Linked DNA regions of Ovis aries. The protein of the gene in region 2 interacts with the protein of the main gene of each other region in a biochemical or structural test. Links are inferred from orthologs where the notes say so. Each region holds a gene or a part of one and is shown on either strand. Other genes may lie near its edges.

Evidence for each region.
Region 1: of the proteins of CHEK1 (region 2) and CDC25A, one has a biochemical effect on the other in vitro, tested with the Homo sapiens proteins (7 studies listed by BioGRID and IntAct, with this or other methods). The link is inferred for Ovis aries from reciprocal best matches to the Homo sapiens genes CHEK1 and CDC25A.
Region 3: of the proteins of CHEK1 (region 2) and ATM, one has a biochemical effect on the other in vitro, tested with the Homo sapiens proteins (2 studies listed by BioGRID, with this or other methods). The link is inferred for Ovis aries from reciprocal best matches to the Homo sapiens genes CHEK1 and ATM.

The regions. Positions count from the first base shown.
Region 1 is NC_056072.1:51,706,289-51,713,246, forward strand, and holds part of CDC25A (M-phase inducer phosphatase 1), read left to right. Parts: intron 1-1,983; coding exon 1,984-2,115; intron 2,116-2,971; coding exon 2,972-3,046; intron 3,047-5,015; coding exon 5,016-5,192; intron 5,193-6,958. UniProt on the Homo sapiens protein: Tyrosine protein phosphatase which functions as a dosage-dependent inducer of mitotic progression. Directly dephosphorylates CDK1 and stimulates its kinase activity. Also dephosphorylates CDK2 in complex with cyclin-E, in vitro.
Region 2 is NC_056074.1:26,494,522-26,502,230, forward strand, and holds the start of CHEK1 (serine/threonine-protein kinase Chk1), read left to right. Parts: upstream 1-3,812; 5' UTR 3,813-4,376; intron 4,377-4,636; 5' UTR 4,637-4,656; coding exon 4,657-4,721; intron 4,722-6,463; coding exon 6,464-6,687; intron 6,688-7,709. UniProt on the Homo sapiens protein: Serine/threonine-protein kinase which is required for checkpoint-mediated cell cycle arrest and activation of DNA repair in response to the presence of DNA damage or unreplicated DNA.
Region 3 is NC_056068.1:17,634,664-17,641,621, forward strand, and holds part of ATM (serine-protein kinase ATM), read left to right. Parts: coding exon 1-90; intron 91-1,886; coding exon 1,887-2,000; intron 2,001-2,551; coding exon 2,552-2,769; intron 2,770-3,258; coding exon 3,259-3,466; intron 3,467-4,335; coding exon 4,336-4,449; intron 4,450-4,821; coding exon 4,822-4,980; intron 4,981-5,435; coding exon 5,436-5,574; intron 5,575-6,623; coding exon 6,624-6,706; intron 6,707-6,958.

The DNA.
Region 1 (6,958 bases), on a different chromosome or scaffold from region 2:
GCTGTCTAAGTGCTGAGAGGTGCTTCCCAGAGTGATTTTGTTTGGAGCAAGCACATGATTTCTACCAAACTTGGTTTAATAAGAACTATTAGGTATTCCGGTGAACCCATTGCCTACAAGGCTGTTTGACTGTATTTGGGGCCATTTGTCCCAGGATTGTTTGTTTGTCAGAGATGGTCATTACTTCCAGATTTCCTACTGGTGATCTGATGGACAGACAGCTGTGGACTAGAGAGGCCCAACTTGAGCAAAATGACCATGTTTGGTTTCCACGTTTTCCCAGGAACTTGTATCTGAAAATATACCTTTCCAGTCTGGCTTAGGGCCTGAGGTTCGGGTTCAGCCAGTAAAGAGGCTACTCAATAAACTTGAAGGTCACTTGAGGATTAATGCATTCATACCCCCCCCCCCCCCCGCCCCAAAGAGATTTACTGTTACGGAAGAGGAAAAAAATCTATCTCTGGACTTTTTTACTATCTTTGAAAAGTACCTAGAAAAGAATTCATTATTAACAGTGTTTATCTCTAGATGGTAGATTTTTGAATGGAATTTATAAATTTTCTGTATGAAATATTTTTCTAAGATTTTTATAATTTCCTGTATTTATTTTTGACTGTGCTGGGTATTTGCTGCTGGCCAGGCTTTTCTCTAGTTTCGGAGAGCAGGGGCTGTTCTTCATGGCAGTGTGCGGGCTTGTCATTGCGGTGGCGTCTCTTCTTGTAGACAGAGAAGATCGTATCTGTCAGTCACACGGGCTTCAGTGATTGGCATGTGGGCTCAGTAGTCGCAGTTCCCGGGCTCTAAAGCACAGGCTCACTAGCTGTGGCACATGGGCTGAGTTGCTCCCAGGCATGTGGGATCTTCCCGGATCAGGGATCGAACCTGTGTCTCCTGCATTGGCAGGTGAATTCTTTACCACTGAAACACCAGGGAGGCCCTGTAACTCATTTTATAATGGGAGTTTTACTGAAAAAACAAGATAGGCTTGCCTAATGAGATATACTCTTATTTTGACTCCAGGAATGGTTTCTCCTAGGGAGAGTATAATGGGCAGAAAAGCTTGGACTTTGCCGTCAAACAAGTGAGCGGTGTAATCTTGGTAACCTTTCTTAAGGATTGGTTTCCTGATTTGTTAAATAAAAATGGAAAATAGAGGATTAACTACCTTTAGTGTGTTGTGAGGCTTAAATGGGATTATACATAAAAGGTTATATCCCAGTCTGAAAACAGGGCTTCCTTCATAGCTTAGTCAGTAAAGAGTCTGCCTGCAATGCAGGAGACCTGGGTTCAATTCCTGGGTCAGGAAGATCCCCTGGAGAAGGAAATGGCAACTCACTCCAGTATTCTTGCCTGGAGAATCCCATGGACAAAGGAGCCTGGCAGGCTACAGTCTATGGGGTCGCGAGAGTCGGACACGACTTAGCAAATAAGTACACACCAGCACACCCAGTGTCTGGCCCAAGTAATTCCTCAGTTAGAACTGAGCAACTGTCATTTAAATTGCGAATCTAAAGAACAAGGATGGATTTTCTAGAACTTCTAGACTTTATATCCCTCTGTCAGAACTGGAGTTACAGAAACATTTCTCTAGTCTGTTTTGTGGTCTCCATAGGGACTTGGTATCTTCTCACCCTTCCAAACTTTAGCAGATTATCACCTGTCACTACCCTCATGCGATCCCTGTTCACCATTAATAATCCTCAGAAAAAACAAGCCTTGCCCTTCATTGGAGGCTAGCCCCAGATCCCACTATAAGGTGAATTGCTCCTGGGGAGAGTTCTTTATGAAGGCTACTTGGCCTGACTCGAATCAGAACTGTGTGTGGATATCAGTTCGTTTATAATCTTAGGTCTTATTTTTCCTTTGATTTGTAGCTGCTAAAACTTCTTAAAACGAAAATGGTATATTTTCTTCATAAAAACTAGTAACCCATTCAGAGAAATCAAAGCTGATTATTAACAAGCCATGAATTCTGTCTTCTAGCTTTCCTCAAATGAAAGAGATGGCAATGAACCAGGGAATTCCATTCCTTTTATGCCCCAGTCACCTGTGACTCCCACTTTGTCTGATGAGGATGATGGCTTCATGGATCTTCTTGATGGAGACAGTTTGAAGGTATGGTGTGGGTATGTGCTTTCCGATCCATTTTTGCTAACTTTCCCTGGAGAGCCGTCATCTGAAAAAGAACAGTGATCCCCCAACTGGCTGATAACTTTTTAAGGTTTTGTTTACTTACTTAATTCATTTTTTGGCTATATTTGCTCTTCGTTGCTGTACCTGGGCTTTCTCTAGTTGCAGAGAGCTGGGACTACTCTTCCGTGGCGGTGCACGGGTTTCTCACGGTGGCGGCTTCTCTTGTTGTGGAGCACAGGCTCTAGCGCACGGACTTCAGCAGTTGCAGCTTGTGGGCTCCAGGGCACCGGCTCTGTAGTTGTCCACAGGCTCAGCTGCTCCTCAGCATGTGGAACCTTCCCAGGCCAGGGGTGGAACCTGTGTCCCTTGCATTGCAAGGAGGATTCTTAACCACTGGACCACCAGGGGAAGCCCTGGCCGATGCTTTTATTCATCTGTTGGGAATTTATTGACTCTGCTTCTAGTCTGCTTAAATTCTATGGAGGTGTTCCAAAGAAAACACTGATGTGATCCTTCTTCCCCTGCAGGAGCTGACAATCTTTTTTTTTTCCTGGAAGGACGTGAATCAGGGACTGAAAGAATAGCTGCCATGTGATGTAAAGCTGAGGAGACCAGTGGCTCCTCGTGGCCCCTCAGGGGCATTCCCTTAGCTATGTTCAGATAGCATCACTCTTACTCTCTTGACCTTAAAGTGTTGTGGAGAGGGGAGGCATTGACCCTTAGAAGACTTCCTGTTCACGTCTTTCTGGTATTCTGCAAGAAGAAATCTAACGCACTTAAACTAATGTTGTTTCTACTGGACCTTTGGACCTTTATGACACAGTTTTTCTTTGTTTAGAATGATGAAGAGACCCCGTCCTGCATGGCCAGCCTCTGGACAGCTCCCCTTGTCATGAGAAGAACTAGCAACCTAGTAAGTTCCAGTGTGTCTGGAGGGAGTGACAGGAATCCAAATTATTTCTTTTGAGATTCTGCATTTGAGCCTATGGGCCTGTTTGGCTGGCCACTAGTGTTTCCTGGTGTTAATGTATGCTGTTTTTTCAAGGGTGTTTTGTTTTGTTTAATACCCACCTACTTGTGTAGACTAGAGACATCTGTTTCCATCAGGGACACTTTCAAAAGCTGTGCCTGTAGAGGGACACATCCTCATGTATGTAAACATCCAGGGAAAGTGAGCTCTTATCATAGTATACATACAGCTACACACTCTTAGGTATATGTATAGACGCTGAATACATCTTTAATCCATGCCCCTGAACTATACATATGGAACAAATGAACCAGTCTAGTCTTGAAGCCACTTACACATTATAGTAGACCAATGTGCAAAGCTTTGAGAGATTAGACCACCCCAATAAAATGGTATGACCAGATTTACTAAGTCCTTTTGAAAGAAAACATTATTAATATATACAGTGTGAGAATGCTTGGAAAATGGCTATCAGTTTTATAAGTTGGATGGAAAAACCATGAAACAGTATGTGTAGGCCCTTCACAATGGTAGAGTTTCACAAACACAGTAGACTCATCATAAGGGCCAGGGGCTGAGTCAGAACTGGGGTTTCTGCCCTTGAAGAGCTTACAGGTCCTCTGAGACCTTACTGAAAGCTGTAGACCCTCTTTCCAAAAATGCTTCCAGCTCTTCTAGGTTAAAAACAAACATATGAAAAATAACCCCCATGATCTTGCTTCTCTGAGCAACATCCTATTAAAAGGAACTTCAGAAAAATAAGCGGAAAACCCTTGGTCTCTGGGAGAGGCAATGGGGGTGACACACTTGCTGCAAACTATTAGGAACTTTTCCAAAGAAGAGGCGACACTGAAATGTTAGTATCAGCTTGAAAGGGAGTGCTTTACGGAGGAGAGGGGTGCGGGGTGTGTGTGAAAGGATACCGAGTTCAGAAGGAAAAGCCCAGCCAGAGAGCACTGAGTTGTGAACGAGGTGAGATGAGTTTAGGTTGCTGAAGTCAGACTGTCTCTACCACTAGTCAGGGTGGCTGCTCTCAAACCCCGAGAAAGTAGTCCTTAGGAGTATTATAGCACATCTTCCTGTATTTCCTTTGGCTTTGTAAGTCTTGAATTTAAAATGCTCTGCTACAGTCCAGAAAGAAAAACAGCCAAGCAGAGAGCATGGCTTCTAAACAGTTTTGAAGGCACCCCTGCCCACTGCAAACTCAAACTCAACTCTGTTTTATCTGCTTAACTGGCTCTAATATATAGTATAATCCAGATGCCTCATACCTTCTGGATTTAGGGGGCTGTTAAAACCTCTTCAAGCTGCTCGAGCAAGGTGCAAATAATAAAGTAGAGGGGAAGAGGAAGCCAGAATTGTGGCCCTGGCTGGAAGGTAACACTTGCTGGGAAGTATATCAGGCACCCTTTGACTCTTAGGACCCTGTGCAGAATGTAGGCTTTTCAGGGCCTGGGTAGTCTTCCTCATTTGTATCCAGTCAGGTTTTGAACATGTTCAGTGAACACCAAGGTCTCAGTGTCTACTGTGTGCCAAGGACTGGATAAACGGACAGTGTCTGTTTCTTAATTTAGGATCTGTGCTAAGTCCCTTTGGTCGTGTCCAACTCTGCGACCCTGTGGACTGTAGGCTACCAGGTTCCGCTGTCCATGAGATTCTCCAGGCAAGAATACTGGATGGAGTGTGTTGCCATGCTCTCCCCCAGAGATCTTCCTGACCCAGAGATCGAACCCCAGTTTCTTTTGTCTCCTGCACTGGCAGGCAGGTTCTTTACCACTAGCACCACCTGGGAAGCCCACTTTGGAATGGCTTGATCTTAAACCATCCCAGGAAGTCCTTGGTCTGTCCTCTTTACCATTCGAATCAGTGTATTTTAATGAAACATGAGTCTCTTTTTTTTTTTTCCCCAAAGGGCAATCGCTGCAAGCTGTTTGACTCCCCTTCGGAGTCCTGCAGCTCTACCATCCGGTCAATGTTGAAAAGACCAGACCGATCACTGGAGGAGTCCCCAGGTGGAAGCAGGAAGCGGAGGAAAAGCGTGGCTGGGGCCAGTCCGGAAGAGGCAGCTAGTCCACAGAAGCCCCAAGAGGTTAGTTCTGCAGCTTCTTTTTCGCTCAAGGATGTTGTATCTGTCAGTTCTAAAATGCACGTTTGTTTGTTTTTCTTTGCTGAGACTGGCTGTTTTTATTTTTCGTTTGTTTCAGTCTTGTTCAGAATTGCCTGTTAAAGCATTTTTATGATGGCTACTTTAAAATCCTAGTCAGGTAGTTCCAGCATCTGCGTCTGGTGTGGCTTTCTGTTGATTGTCTTTTCCTATTCAGGTTGAGATTTTTCCTGGTTCTTCATATGAGAAGAGATTTTTTTTCAGTTGTATCTGTGTACTTTGGATGTTATGAGGCTATGTAACTGCTGTTTTAGTAGTATTCCGATACTGCAGGGAAAGGGGGACGGAAGTTCAGTCTCCCTTAATGTGCTACTTAGGTAGGTCAGACCTCATGGCTGCTGGGCAGGAGTGGGAAAGGAAGTTCAAGCTCCCTTCTAGACCTCCACCAACACCATCCCAGTGAGGTTGAGATTGGGGCACTTAATTACAGCTGGGCAAGGGTGGAAGTCTAAGCTCCCCACTTGCTGTTGGGTCCTGGCGTAGGGCCATAACTTTTTTCCCTTGGTTGGGTTTTTTGTTTTGTTTGTTTTCATTTTTCTTGTGTCCTGACCTATTTAGGACTACTTTAGGTTTGTGTCCTGACCTATTTAGGCTACTTTAGGTTTGTCTCACAACTTTGATTATAGTGTTTTTCGTTGTCACTTAGTATTTTATTTCTTTTTATTTCTCTGTGATGAGAACTCAAGATTTATTCTCAACTACTTTCATATACACCATACATCCGACCTAACTATAGTCATCATGTTGTACATTACATCCCTGGTACTTGTCTCATCACTGGAAGTTGTACATTTTGATCACGTTCATCTGGCCCCCCTTCTCCATTGCTTACCTCTGGTAACCCCACAAATCTGATCTCCTTTTCTGTGAGTTTGGTTTTTGTTTTGGTGGTTGTGGTAGTGGTTAGCACTGTGTGTTTTCAGTTTTTTCATTCCCCGTACAAGTGATGTCATATACTTATTTGTCTTTCTCGGTCCGACTTACTTCAATTTCACTTAGCATAATGCCCTCAAGGTCCATCCATGTTACTGCAAATAGCAGGATTTCCTTCTTTTTGTATGGCTAAATAATAATCCATTGTGTGAATGTGTATTCCAGCTTCCTCATCCATTCATCTGTCAGTGAACACTTTTTTCCATGTTGTGGCTATTATAAATAATGCTGCTGTAATGTGAGTGCAGATATTTCTTGACATAGTGTTTTCGTTTTCTTAGAATATGTTTCCAGAAGTGGTATTGCTAGATCATATGTTTTGGGTTCAACTTTTTAAGGTACGTCCATACTGTTTTCCATAGCAGCCATCCCACTCTACAGCCCCACCAGTACTGTACAGGTGTTCCCTTGTCTTCACATCCTTATCAACACTTGTTTCTTGTCTTTTGTTTTTTTTTGGCCACTCCATGGGCTTGGGGGATCTTAGTTTCCTTGCCAGGGATTGAACTCAGGCCCTCAGCAGTAAAAGTGTGGAATCCTAACAGTGGGCCACCAGGGAATTGCTCTTGTCTTTTTTTTTTTTTTAAGTGATTCATTTTATAATTTGTTGGTTTTTTTTTTTCCTTGTTTGGCTGTGCTGGGTCTTCGGTGCTGCTCAGACTTTTCTAGTTGCGGTGAGCAGGGGCTATTCTACAGTTGTGGTGCGTGGACTTCTCATCGTAGTGGCTTCTCGTTGCAGAGAACGGGCTCCAGGGCAC
Region 2 (7,709 bases):
TTTTATGTCCTTGGAAGAATATAAGCCAGGCTGTCAGACTTAAGGGAGTCAAGTGAGGAAAAAAGGCTCAGAGGTTTAACCTTCAGTTCAGTTTAGTTGCTCAGTCGTGTCTGACTCTTCGCGACCCCATCGAGTGCAGCACGCCAGGCCTCCCTGTCCATCATCAACTGTAGTTTACTCAGACTCATGTCCATTGAGTCGGTGATGCCATCCAACCATCTCATCCTCTGTTGTCCCCTTCTCCTGCCTTCAATCTTTCCCAGCATCAGGGTCTTTTCCAGTGAGTTAGTTCTTTGCATCAGGTGGCCAAAGTATTGGAGTTTCAGCTTCAGCATCAGTTCTTCCAATGAATATTCAGGACTGATTTCCTTTAGTTTTTTTTTCTTTTTTTTTTTTTTTTTCAGCAAAGTAATGTCTCTGTGCTTTTGAATATGCTATCTAGGTTGGTCATAACTTTTCTTCCAAGGAGTTGATTTCCTTTAGGATGAACTGGTTGGATCTCCTTGCTGTTTAAGGGACTCTCAAGAGTCTTTTCCAACACCACGGTTCAAAAACAACAATTCTTTGGTGCTCAGCTTTCTTTATAGTCCAACTCTCACATCCATACACGACTACTGGAAAAACCGTAGCTTTGACTAGACGGACCTTTGTTGGCGAAGTAACGTCTCTGCTTTTTAATGTGCTGTCTAGGTTGGTCATAACTTTTCTTCCAAAGAGCAAGCATCTTTTAATTTCATGGCTGCAATCACCATCCGTGGTGATTTTGGAGCACCCCAAAATGAAGTCTGTCACTGTTTGCATTGTTTTTCCATTTATTTGCCATGAAGTGATGGGACCAGATGCCATGATCTTTGTTTTCTGAATGTTGAGTTTTAAGCCAGCTTTTTCACTTTCCTCTTTCACTTTCATCAAGAGGCTTTTTAGTTCTTCACTTTCTGCTGTAAGGGTGGTGTCTTCTATATATCTGAGGTTATTGATATTTCTCCTGGCAATCTTGATTCCAGCTTATGTTTCATCCAGCCTGGTATTTTGCATGATGTACGCTGCATATAAGTTAAATAAGCAGGGTGACAATATACAGCCTTGATGTACTCCTTTTCCAATTTGGAACCAGTCTGTTGTTCCATGTCCAGTTCTAACTGTTGCTTCCTGATCTGTATACAGATTTCTCAAGAGGCAGGTCAGGTGGTCTGGTATTCCTATCTCGAAGAATTTTCCACAGTTGTGATCCACACAGTCAAAGGCTTTGGCGTAGACAATAAAGCAGAAGTAGATGTTTTTCTGGAAATCTCTTGCTTTTTTGATGATCCAATGAATGTTGGCAATTTGATCTCTGGTTCCCCTGCCTTTTCTAAATTCAGCTTGAACATTTGGAAGTTCACGGTTCATGTACTGTTGAAGCCTGGCTTGGAGAATTTTGAGCATTACTTTGCTAGCGTGTGAGATGAGTGCAGTTGTGTGGTAGTTTGAACATTTCTTTGGCATTGCCTTTCTTTGGGATTGGAAAATAACCTGCAGTGTATAAACTTAATCCTTTTGTTTTCAGTTAGGTACCCAAGACTTAACTGGGCCTGATCCTTTGCAGTTTAGATAACCATGTATTTTCCCTCTCAAGTCTAGGACCTACTTTAGAGAGAGGCATTTCCTTCCCTACAGAGGAAAGGGAGGAGACCAAGGATGTGTTTGCTTCATAAATAGTCCTTCACCATCTTTTAGCCCCACCTTTGCCTCATTTAGGACTTCCCTGGTGGCTCGGAGGTTAAAAGCGTCTACCTCCAATGCGGCAGACCCGGGTTCGATCCCTGGGTCAGGAAGATCCCCTGGAGAAGGAAATGGTAACCCACTCCAGTATTTTTGCCTGGAGAGTCCCATGGACGGAGAAGCCCAGTATGCTCCAGTCCATGGGGTCGCAAAGAGTCGGACACAACTGAGCGACTTCACTTCACTTCTTGCCTCATTTACCACCAGGGATTCCCTGGCGGCTCAGAGGATCAAGTGTCTACCTGCAATGCTGGAGACCTGGGTTTGATCTCTGGATTGGGAAGATCCCCTGGAGAAGAAAATGGCATCCACTCCAGTACTCTTTGTCTAGAAAATTCCATGGATGGAGGAGCCTGGTGGGCTACAGTCCATGGGGTCACCAAGATTCGGACAAGACTGAACAACTTAACTTCACTTTTGCCTCATTCAGTTACATGTATGTGTGTGCTCAGTTGTGGAGTGGATTGCCACTTCCTACTCCAGGGGATTTTCCCAAGTCAGGGACTGAGCCTGTGTTTTGTTGTTTCCTGCACTGGCAGGTAGATTCTTTACAACTAGGGCCACCTGTAAAACCCCATTCAGTTACATGTTGTCATATAACTAATTGAACTTGAATCTCTGGGCAATTCTAAGATGGAATTTATCTTCTTTCATCTATGTTATTGTTTTTTCATCTATATTTGTAGGTTATTGCCTTTAAAAAGTCTCCTTTAAAATAGTAAACTTTATTCCATTCTGAAACCTTACTAAAATACTAAATTTTAATAGTAAATATTAAGCTAAATTAATGGAATATTTTAATATTTACTGTTTTAGTAAGGTTTCAAAAAGGAACAGAGCTTTTTGTATCTATTCCCCCATATGCTGTCTTTAGCTGATACTCTGCCTGAAATGTGTATACCTCATTTTTTTTTCAGGGTAAGATACCTTTACTGTATCCAGACACTTCGCTTCATATTCTTTATTTGCAACAGGCCGTGCAGAAACTAGAGAAAGTGGAGTAAACAATCTGGAAAGCTTACATGAAACCTCAAGTGTGGTTGAATTTCTGTGTTCTGACTTGTTTTTTGTCCCTCACTTTAAATCCAGTGTGTGCATTTTTGTACACTTGTTTTACCAGTATCACAATCAAGAGCTAATTATGTTAAATGTATGCGGCCCAGTTTTAAGAACTGGAGAATTTGAAGATACCCTTACTTGCTCCTTGAGTTCCTAGTCTTTACTGTCGAGAGGGAGTATCTGTTTCAGTTTTTCCACACTGTTTTGTTCTCTAGCCAATCTCTTTCCCAGAATTTACTTTCCCACCTAAACTGGTTATTCTGCTTTTAAACTATGCATTGTAAAAACGCAGCGTTTTTGCTTATACAAAACGCTGTTTTGCCTGTTTCTTACACATTAAAGACAGTGGGTAGAACTAAGCCATGCAGTTGCACTTCCTTCAAAAAGGCTGAGTTGGAGGTATTGTTTTGGTGCCTGTTCGGACAAGACAGGGCAGAATTGGTTTTCCTGACATCTCAAGCCACAAAAGAATAGCTTTCTTCACCCGGATGCCTTCCCAACCACTGCTGTGTGGCCAGTGTTTGATGCATCTCGCTCACATCACAAAGTTCCTTTCATTCTAAACAGGATCAATTCTCAACAGCTGTTCCCAGCTTCTAGGCTCCAGTTTTACCTGGGCCGAGCTTTATAGTCACTGAAGCAGCTCTTATGGCGTGTGATCCTGGTTACCCTGCCAGGCCACGGGGCAAGGTGCTCGGGGCTTCGGTGGCGGGCAGCGAGCTCCGCGGTGCCGCTCTCCCCGGGAGCGCGAGGCCGGAGGGCGGAGTCCCACTTCGCGTTTGGGCCCGGAGGTCATTCGCAACCGATGCAGTCCGCAGTTCCAAAACCTCCCAAAACCTCTTCCGCCCGGATCTCGTCCCGATTCCAAAGTAACCCTGGTCTCCGCCGGCATGGAGGACCAGCCCTGGCCCCAGGCGCTGCCAATCTGCAGATCCGCCGGGCCGGGAACGCGCACCTCTCTGCTTTACGGCAAGGGAGCGCGCGTTTGCGACAATGTGACGCCAGCAACTTTTGGCGGGAAAAGCCCTGCATTTGGATTCCTGTGGTGGCGGGCAAAGGACGGCCTGGTGAGGAAGGGCGGCCGGTAGAGTGGGAAAGGCTCCTGGAGCTGGAGTTCCGGGACTACATGATTTAGGAGGGGCACGGTGACAGAACGTTCTCGGTTCCGATCCCAAAGGATCGGAGAGGCTCCCTCGGAGGGGTGGTTTCGGAGGGTGGAGGAGTATGGTGGCGGGGGTCCCCGTTGTACAGGGACTGGAGAGAAGCCGCCTCTGCTGGCTGGGAGCCCCCAAGGTTTGGGGCCCGGCGGTCCGCGTGCCACCCAGCCCTTCCGCTTCTTGGGGCAGTTTGGCCCCGCCCCGGGCTCCTCCTGGCCTTGGGGACGGGGTGGGGGTGGGAATTGGGAGTGAGTGGGTGGGGAGGAGTGGCTGCGGTCCCCGCGGTTATTTCCTCCTCCACTAGCCCTCACCCCCTTACTCTAACCCGAGACTTCACTTCTCGCCCCCTTCACCAGTCCCCGCCGTACAGCACTGGTCACCAGCTCCTCAGCGTTGCTGGTACATTTCCTCTGCCTCCTGGAAAGCGGGGTTTTAGCTTTGGGTTTGCGTGGCAGTGGGGCTTGTGAGTTATCAATCAAATGCCGCAGTTCAGGATACTTGCTCATGCTTTAAAAGACTTGGATAAAATACGGATGATGTGAAACCAGGAGCAGTGATTTATCTCGGGGGAATCACGGCAAGAGGCGGAGCTCAGAGGCTTTAGAAATGATTGAAGCTCGTCCTCACCAACCGTCTTTTCTGGGTTCCTGCCCTTACAGCCGCGGGACTGAGTGGAGTCATGGCAGTGCCCTTTGTGGAAGACTGGGACTTGGTGCAAACCCTGGGAGAAGGTGCCTATGGAGAGTGAGTCTGAGTCCGTTTTACCCGCCTTTACACTTGCTTTGGTTTTCTGTCTCCTTTGAGTACATATTCATTGTCCAGGAATTGTTCAACACTGTGTCGCCCCAAAGAACAGATCTTTGCATGCAAATTCCAAAACTTTGTGAGACTGAAGGTACACAATCTTTTGTAAGAGTTAACGGTTTGTTTTTTCTTCTTTTTTTGGGGGGGGGGGCGGGGTGCAAAACAGAGCAAAGCAAAGCATTTTTTCCCTAAAATTTAGAGATTTCTGAAATCGGTTTTTCCTCCCATATAGTCTTTCCTGGGGTTTAAACATAGTGGTTAAATGAGCAAATGAACATTCAGACTCTGGAGCCACATTACTGACCTTTGTTTTGTGAAGCTTAGGCAAGCTTTTTCTTTTTTGGCCGTTCCATGGCCGTTCCATCCTGCTTGCAGGAGGCGGACCAGAGATTGAACCTGTGCCCCAAGCAGTAGAAACATGGGGTGGGGTCTTAACCAGGGGACCACCAAGGAAGTCCCTAGGTGAGCTTCCTAAAATCCTTGTGTGCCTGTTGCTTCAGCTGTAAAATGGCAATAATAGTACATATCCTGTAGGTACTTAGAACATTTACCATAGACATGTATAGTATCAAATTAATAAATGTTAGGTAATGTTACTAAAATTAAATGACTAGAGCAAGAATGAAATCTTGACATTTGCGACAACATGGACCTGGAGCGTATTATGCCAAGTTTAAATAGGTCAGGCAGAGAAAGACAAATACTGTATGGTTTCACTTACTAGGTGAAACAAAACAAATGAACAAAAGTAACAAAAGAGAAACAGAGTTAAAACAAACAGGTGGTTGCCAGAGGGGAGGGTGGTGGGAGGAGAGAACTACTTGTACAAGCATACAGTTGCAAAATAAGTCTTCAGTATGAAATGTACAGTTGGAGAGTATAGTCAGTAATTATGTAATATCTTTGTATGGTAGCATATCCTAACTAGACATAGAGTGGTGATCATTTTGAAATGTAAAGAAATATCAAATCACTATTTGGTAACAGGAACTAATCCAGCATTGTAAGCCAATTATACTTCAAAGACAAACAGACTCACAGAAAAAGAGATGAGATTTGTGGTTATCAGAGCAGGGTGTAGGGGGAGGGGGATTTGGGTGAAGATGGTCAAAAGCTACAAACTTCCAGTTATAAGATAAATAAGTTCTAGAGATGTAATGTACAGCATTCTTAATATCAACACTGCTATATGTTATAGATGAAATTTAAAATAGTAAATAATGAGTTCTCATCACAAGGAAAGTTATTTTTTCTATTTTTAAAATTTTTTATCTGTAAAAAATGATAGATTGTCACTAAATTTATTGTGATAATCATTTCAGTGCTTTATGGCACTTATATCTCAGTAAAATTGGAAGAGAAATTAAATGAATAGAGCATGTATATGTGTGATGTGGCCTAGAATTGCTGTTATTCCATTTTTAATTTATCAAGTGTTTATATATTACTTTTGGATGTACAACATAATGACTTCTTTGGAGCATTAGCTATTATACTTCACATTTCAGAAAGGAGTATTATCTGTTGAGGACATGGCAGAAACCATTCCCATGGTTTCTTCCAAGTGGCGAAAGTAATAAAGGTAAAATAGTTTTGGATGAGTTATGTTTAATCTTTTGAAGTTTTAAAAGAAATACAGGTCAAATGTCTGGAATATTATATTTCTTCCTTTTTCTTTTTAGAGTTCAACTTGCTGTGAATAGAAGAACAGAAGAAGCAGTTGCAGTGAAGATTGTGGATATGAAACGTGCCATAGACTGTCCAGAAAATATAAAGAAAGAGATCTGTATCAATAAAATGTTAAATCATGAGAATGTAGTGAAATTTTACGGTCACAGAAGAGAAGGCAATATCCAGTATCTATTTTTGGAGTACTGCAGTGGGGGAGAACTTTTTGATAGAATAGGTATGGAAAAATTTTCAGATAATTCTTCTGCTAAATAAGTTTTTAAATTTGTCTTTTAATCTTGGGGCTTCTGTTTGTTCACTGTCCATTCAGAATTGCTTATGCGATAGTGAAACGAGTAAATTTTTTTGTTTTTGCAACTTATGTCAACACTGAATGCATATGTAGAATCATCAAAGAAATTTTCCCCCAAGTTGTATAAGTGATTTTGGTTGGCATTTCTGTTTTGTAGAGTTTAAGAATGATAAGCTGTGGTTTCTTGGTGCGTGAAGTATCATAAGTGCAATGTATTGTATGCCTATGCAGTTTTAGACATTCTAGTCTCATGAAATTGTTGCATTCATTTATAGATCTGAAATAAGAGGTTATTATATAAGTGAAATAATTGAGAATTTTATAGGATTTATATATATATTAAGTACTATTTTTGCTGCTGCTGCTAAGTCACTTCAGTCGTGTCCAACTCTGTGTGACCCCATAGACGGCAGCCCACCAGGCTCCCCCTGTCCCTGGGATTCTCCAGGCAAAAACACTGGAGTGGGTTGCCATTTCCTTCTCCAATGCATGAAAGTGAAGTCGCTCAGTCGTGTCCGACTCTTAGCGACCCCATGGACTACAGCCTACCAGGCTCTTCCATCCATAGGATTTTCCAGGCAAGAGTACTGGAGTGGGGTGCCATTGCCTTCTCTATTTTTTGTTTTGCTACTTAAGATTAAAAGTCTTGATATTAAAGAATACTGAGAATTACATAAAATATTCTGTGGACTTAAATTTATTATTTAGATGTATTAATAGTTGAAAAGTGATTATTAGAATCTCCAAAAAGATGTATCTCAGAAAAGAATTGAGTATAAAAGAAATCAATTCATAGACATGCATGGCTTTGTGGTGTGAGAAATTATATGAAATTTAAATTTCTTGTATATTTAGGAAATCGGCTTAGATTTGCTAGGCTTCCACTTTGACAATTACATTTCAGGAGTAGAAAAAAATATTGGCATAGCATTTAGAAGAAATCAGGG
Region 3 (6,958 bases), on a different chromosome or scaffold from region 2:
GCACAAGTATTCTGGGCAAAAAAGGAACAGAGTCTTGCCCTGAGTATTCTCAAGCAAATGATCAAGAAGCTGGATGCCAGTTGTACAGAGGTTCACTTTTTTTCTATTGGTTGAATTAGTTTTTACTGTAATAAGAAAGATTACTGTGCTTTATAATATTTTAAATAAAATTTAATATAATTACTAATTTTATTAAAGATTTGAAATTACTGATCCATGAACAAGAAATTATAAAAAGGAGTCTTGAAAATTAGTATTTGTAAAAGTTTAGACAGTATTCAGTTTTCCTATTTACAACATTTCTATCAGTCCATCTCATCATAGATTAATTCATCCCAATTATAAGCCTTATTTTTTTAAAACTTTCTACAGTAATCAAGGAGGGTGTGTGGGAAACAAAGATGAAATAGACACTATAGATCTGAAATGACAAAAAGTGCAAGAGGAAATGCATAAGAGAATAAAACTTTTTTTAAAAGGCAAGTTGAAATAATTAGGTGGTCAATTCAAAGACCCTGAAAACATCACATCTGATATTTTATCTACCATTACCTATAATGTACATATATATTTTATATTAGTTGTTATAAACTTGATTGCTTCTTCAACTCTGTCTCCAGCATATGATGGACAAATTTAGCAGCATTTGTAGGAATCATGAAGTATTTTAAAGGTTTGGACTCAGTGATATCCCTCTGACATATACCTACTAGGTGAATATCAACATTTTGTACTTTTGGATAATGGAAACTTGTAGAACATCCTCCTTTATTAGAGAATGTATCATTATACCAAGCCCTGGGAGCTCACATGGTATGATTTTTTAAATATTGCTTAACAGTATGGACCCTGAAAACTAAGATCATGGCATCCAGTCCCATCACTTCATAGCAAATAGATGGGAAAACAGGAGAAACAGTGTCTGTCTTTGTGTTTTGGGGCTCCAAAATCACTGCAAATGGTTTTGGCAGCTATGAAATTAAAAGACCCTGCTCCTTGGAAGAAAAGCTATGACAAACTTAGCATATTAAAAAGCAGAGACTTTACTTTGCCAACAAAGGTCCATCTAGTCAAAGCTATGGATTTTCCAGTAGTCATGTATGGATGTGAGAGTTGGACTGTAAAGAAAGCTGAGGGCCGAAGAATTGATCCTTTTGAACTGTGGTGTTGGAGAAGACTCTTGAGAGTCCCTTGGACTGCAAGGAGATCTATCCAGTCCATCCTAAAGGAGATCAATCCTGAGTGTTCATTGGAGGGACTGATGTTGAAGCTGAAACTCCAATCCTTTGGCCACCTGATGTGAAGAGTTGACTCATTGGAAAAGACCCTGATACTGGGAAAGATTGAAGGCAGGAGGAGAAGGGAATGACAGAGGATGAGATAGTTGAATGGCATCACCGACTCAATGGATAGGATGTTGAGTAAACTCCAGGAGTTGGTGATGGACAGGGAGGCCTGGCGTGCTGCAGTCCATAGGGTCGCAAAGAGTTGGACACAGCTAAGCAACTGAACTGAACTGATGGACCCTGAAGTTACCTACCCTCTTTGTACTTCAGTTGTAGTTTTCTAATTAAGGATAATAATTGTTCTTATTTCATAGGATTCTTGTGAGGATTAACTGAATTATTATATATTATTTTATATAGTAATAATGCCAATCATATAAAAGTACTCAATATATGTGAGTTGTTTCAATAATAGTAATAATAGTACTAGTAGTAGAGAATGATTATTTTATAAAGGTAAATATTTGGAATTATTAAAATAGTTGTAAGTTGAAAGCAAATGATGAAAGACATTTTTAACCTGTTTTTTTCCTACATGGAAGATATTTTTGTACAGTCATGATAATGAATTACATTTTAAGACTTTGCTTTCCTTTACAGAATGATCCCAACTTAAAACTTATATACACAGAATGTCTAAGAGTTTGTGGCACTTGGTTAGCAGAAACTTGCTTAGAAAATCCTGCAGTCATCATGCAGACCTATCTAGAAAAGGTAAGGTTTTTGAGGAACCCTAATAGAATCGCTTAGCATAAATACATTTGATCTTTTCATAGAAGTGAAATGAAGTGAAAGTTGCTCAGTGGTGTCCAAGTCTTAACAACTCCATGGATTGTAGCCTGCTAGGCTCCTGTGTCCGTGGGATTCTCCAGGCAAGAATACTGGAGTGGGTTGCCATGCCCTCCTCCACGGGATCTTCTCAACCCAGTGCTTCTACCACCTTTGAGCTTCCTGTTTCTCCCTCTTATTCATATAGTTTAATTTTTAAAATAGCTACTTTACTAATAAATGAACATGAAAAGCCTAATATGTTTTTTTAGTTTTATAGAGCTTTATGTTTTTGTACCATTCTTTACACATATTAGCTATTTGTTGTTTCTGCTCTGTCAAAATTGTTTTGAAAACTCAAAGTACTGTATTTTGTATAATTTAGCTTATATACATATATATATGTTAAATTTTACTGTGGATATTTCTTTGATCTGAGTAATTCTTTAGATGCATTTAGTATCTGTAAATATAAATGGATTGTTTTTTTCTTGAAGGCTGTGGAAGTTGCTGAAAATTATGATGGAGAAAGCAATGATGGCCTGAGAAATGGAAAAATGAAGGCATTTCTCTCATTAGCACGGTTCTCAGATACTCAATACCAAAGAATTGAAAACTACATGAAATCCTCAGAATTTGAAAATAAGCAAGCTCTTCTGAAAAGAGCCAAGGAGGAAGTTGGCCTACTTAGGGAACATAAAATCCAGACCAACAGGTAACTGAGGGTCTACAAGTAACAAGATATACAGTATTTATACAGGTATACAGAACCAGATAGGAATTCATGCTGTGGCTCTATACTAATTGTGAAATATACTGGTGTTAACTTTTTGTTTTGCTTTTTTAGTTTGTTTGTTGGTATCATAGTTGAAAAAGAGATATGTGTTGAAATTAGAGAGGAGTTACTTAGTTTGATGTAATTAAATACTTTTTTCAAACCTGCTTTTATATATATTTTAGTGTAAGTAGAAAATAAAGTTAATGAAATACCTTGCATAGAGTCTACTTTGGTTGCCTAAAATAGCTTTTGAATTGCAGAAACTTAAAGACAAAAGTAAGTTTATTCTCTTTATAATTCTTAGAATGTTGCTTTTTCTCCAAAGATGGACACCTGATTTTTCATTTATATTTTATATCTTATTTGATTTTGTAGTTCTATAAAATTTAACAGCTTTTGTGTTTTATTTTAATTATCCAATGTAAGATACACAGTAAAGGTTCAGCGAGAGCTAGAGTTGGATGAATGTGCACTCCGTGCATTGAAAGAGGATCGTAAACGTTTCTTATGTAAAGCAGTTGAAAATTACATCAATTGCTTATTAAGTGGTGAAGGGCATGATATGTGGATATTTCGTCTTTGTTCTCTCTGGCTTGAAAATTCTGGAGTTTCTGAAGTCAATGGCATGATGAAGGCAAGTTTTCTTTTTCACCCCAGTATTCTAGCCTGTGCTTTAAAAGTTAAGCCATTAGCCCCTCAAATGTCATGCATTTTGTATACTTTGTATCCTTGGCAGTTGGTTTAGGGCACTGCACATAGGTACTTAACTAACTCTAATGATATAGGTTTATGTGGATATGAGAGAATTTAGGTCAGTCTTTTCCTGTAGCATTTAAATTACCATTGGAAAGTACCCAGAATGCTAGACTGGGAAATTTGGAAAGCAATTAAAAGATGATGTGATCACAGGTGGTGTTTTTTTAACCCCTGCTCTATTATTTTCTCTTTGTTTTTTTTTTTTTTTTACAATAAATTATTTTTTAAATGGAAAAAAACCATTTTAAGAAAACATTAAGGCAGTAGAATTTTATAAATTTTTATTTAAAAATCTTGGGTTTTATTGACATCTAAAGTTATATTTCAATCAGTTTGAAGCTTAAAATAGTTCTTCTGGCTGAAGAGAATACTCATAAGAGATACAACAAATTTCTGCTACTAGTGTACATTAAATCCTGTTACTTTTAGAATGGAGGGGAAAATAGTTATTCCATTTTATTCACACTGACTTCTCAGGAGTCAAGATTACAATAGTCCTTAGATCAATGTTTGTCCTCCTTGGATTCATTGGAATATAAGCAGTACCAAGTATTCCACTTTTGAATGCAATCTGGTACAGGTTCAAACATGATTTACCAGTGAGTCAATCTAGACTTTAAGATAAATGATAAGGAAAAAATATGTCTGCTTGATGATTGCACTAATAGAGGAGCATTTTGTATTTTTTTAGATATGAGGTCTAGTTGAAATGCATTGCTTTTTAATTTTGTATTTTTTTAATGGCAGAGAGATGGAATGAAGATTCCATCATACAAATTTTTGCCTCTTATGTACCAATTGGCTGCTAGAATGGGGACCAAGATGATGGGAGGTCTAGGATTTCATGAAGTCCTCAATAATGTAAGTAAACATGAAAATCAAACCACAATTGCTTTTCTTTTATATTATTGTATATTACTGTTCCACTCTAGAAAGTGGCTACACAAAAAAGTATCATCAGTCATATTTATTATGTTATATAAGGGCAAGAATATTCTCTTTCGTCTCCTTTCATATGCCACATGTTACTCACTTTCTCTTTGTTTTTCCTCATATACTTCTCTCACCCATACATACCACATCACCACTCCCGCCCCCCACACACAGTCCACCCACTGTAGCATCTAGCACAGTAAAACGTATCTTAATGTTAAGCAAAATTTAAATTTAAAAAGTTATGGATTTTTAATTTTTTTCTTTCCATAAAATTAACAGTTCTTAATTTTCTGACAGCTCATCTCTAGAATTTCAATGGATCATCCTCATCACACTTTGTTTATCATATTGGCCTTAGCAAATGCAAACAAAGATGAATTTTTGACCAAACCAGAGGCAGCCAGAAGGAGTAGAATTACTAAAAATGCACCTAAACAAAGCTCTCAGCTTGATGAGGTATTTGGATTGAACATGCATACCTTTTTTAATTGCGATATTCATTTTTTCTCAAAATATTCCTTTCTTAAGTCTCAGGAATTCAAAGAGTATGTATTGTTACAATATTAAATTTGTAAATCCTTTGTTATTATGATGCTACCTAAAACTGGTTCAAAATTCCTGAATATTTCTCAAAGCATAAGAGATACCAAAGGTATTTTACTGTTTTTCCTCAGCGTAATGAGGAAAGAAAAAATAGATTTTACAAGGCACCCAAGTCATTTACTCTTGAGATTATTATACCTTTGATATGTTTCATTCATAATACAGTGACTGCTTTGTCTCTGAGGAATTATAGTCCTTCCATTGTCTAGATATGTACATAAATTCCATTTTTTTGTTTTTATAACTCTAAAAGTTTTAATGTTGCATATTTGCTTTTGTAATATTTTTTGTTTGTATTTTATTATTAGGATCGAACCGAGGCTGCTAACAAAATAATACGTACTATCCGAAGTAGGAGACCTCAGATGGTCAGAAGTGTTGAGGCACTTTGTGATGCTTATATTATACTAGCAAATTTAGATGCCACTCAGTGGAGGACTCAGAGAAGTATGCAATTTGAAAGAATGAATGTTGCATTCTTGCTATGTTAATCTCTGTTGTTGTTTTTAGGTGCTAAGTCATATCTGACTGTTTTGTGACCCCATGGCCTATAGTCTGCCAGGCTCTTCTGTCCATAAGATTTCCCATTTTCCCAGGCAAGAATACTGGAGTGGGTTGCCATTTCCTTCTCCAGGAGATCTTCGCAACCCAGGGACTGAATCTGAGTCTCCTGCATTGCAGGCAGATTCTTTACTGCTGAGCCACCAGGGAAGCCCACTTATTCTCTATAGGGATATTTTAATTACAGAACAGAATGTAAATCTGCTCAACTCACATTAATTATAGATATGAAAGTTTTGATGATTATAACTCACACGTAATTCAAAACTTTATTTTTATCTAAAAGCCTTCAATACCCCTCCAGTTACTTTTTCGCTTAATATCTTGTTGTGGAACTGATTTTTAACAGATAACTGCATTCTAGGACTTAAAAATGAAAAGACTATCATTTTCTCCATCACTCTTCTTGCTGTGTCTCTTTAAATAATTATAAGCTGCTATAATTTGGTTGTGTGTATCTGTCTCCCCAAACTTTAATAATTATGTTCTTTTTTTCCGTTCAGAATCATGTCTTCATAGTTAAATTCTTACTATTTTAAAATAAAAATGAGGCTTCTCATAGTGTTCCTCTAAGCAAACAAAGAATACTGTCATGTTGTTTAGTCACATTTAATAATAATATGTATAGCATTATCTATGTGCTGTTCATACTATTATATAATTATCTTAAGTTGTCCAACTTGGCACCTCAGGTGGAGTCTGGTCTAATTACCAGTGCCAGGTAACCTGCAAATTCATCTGTAAGCCACATTACTCATTGCTATGCCCTGACCCTGAGCGGCATTATGTCCCAAGTCTTTGGTCTTCATTTCTAAATCAGAACCACAGATTAGCCATAGTTTGGGTTTATGGTATCTGCTGAATTCTCCTGCTTTACCTACAATACTGTTGCTCAATTTGCAGTTGTCACTGAAACTTCTTTATTTTAAATACAGAAGGCATAAATATTCCAGCAGACCAGCCCATTATCAAACTTAAAAATTTAGAAGATGTTGTTGTCCCTACTATGGAAATTAAGGTAATTTGCTATTAACCGTTTTGATTTTTTAATTAAACTAAATTACTTTTTAGCAAGTTAAACCATTTGAAATAGCCTTTTATTGTAGGTCAAAATTGGTTAATTATTGGCAATTTCATTTGTTTCAACCAATAGTTTTTTCTTTATTGGATTCCCTTTGCCCAAGACTTAAAATACTTAAAGATCTCTCCTGCTTTCTTTTCTATTTCCTTCAGTTTTTACAGTTGTCATCTTTCTTATGAAGAAGTCTGT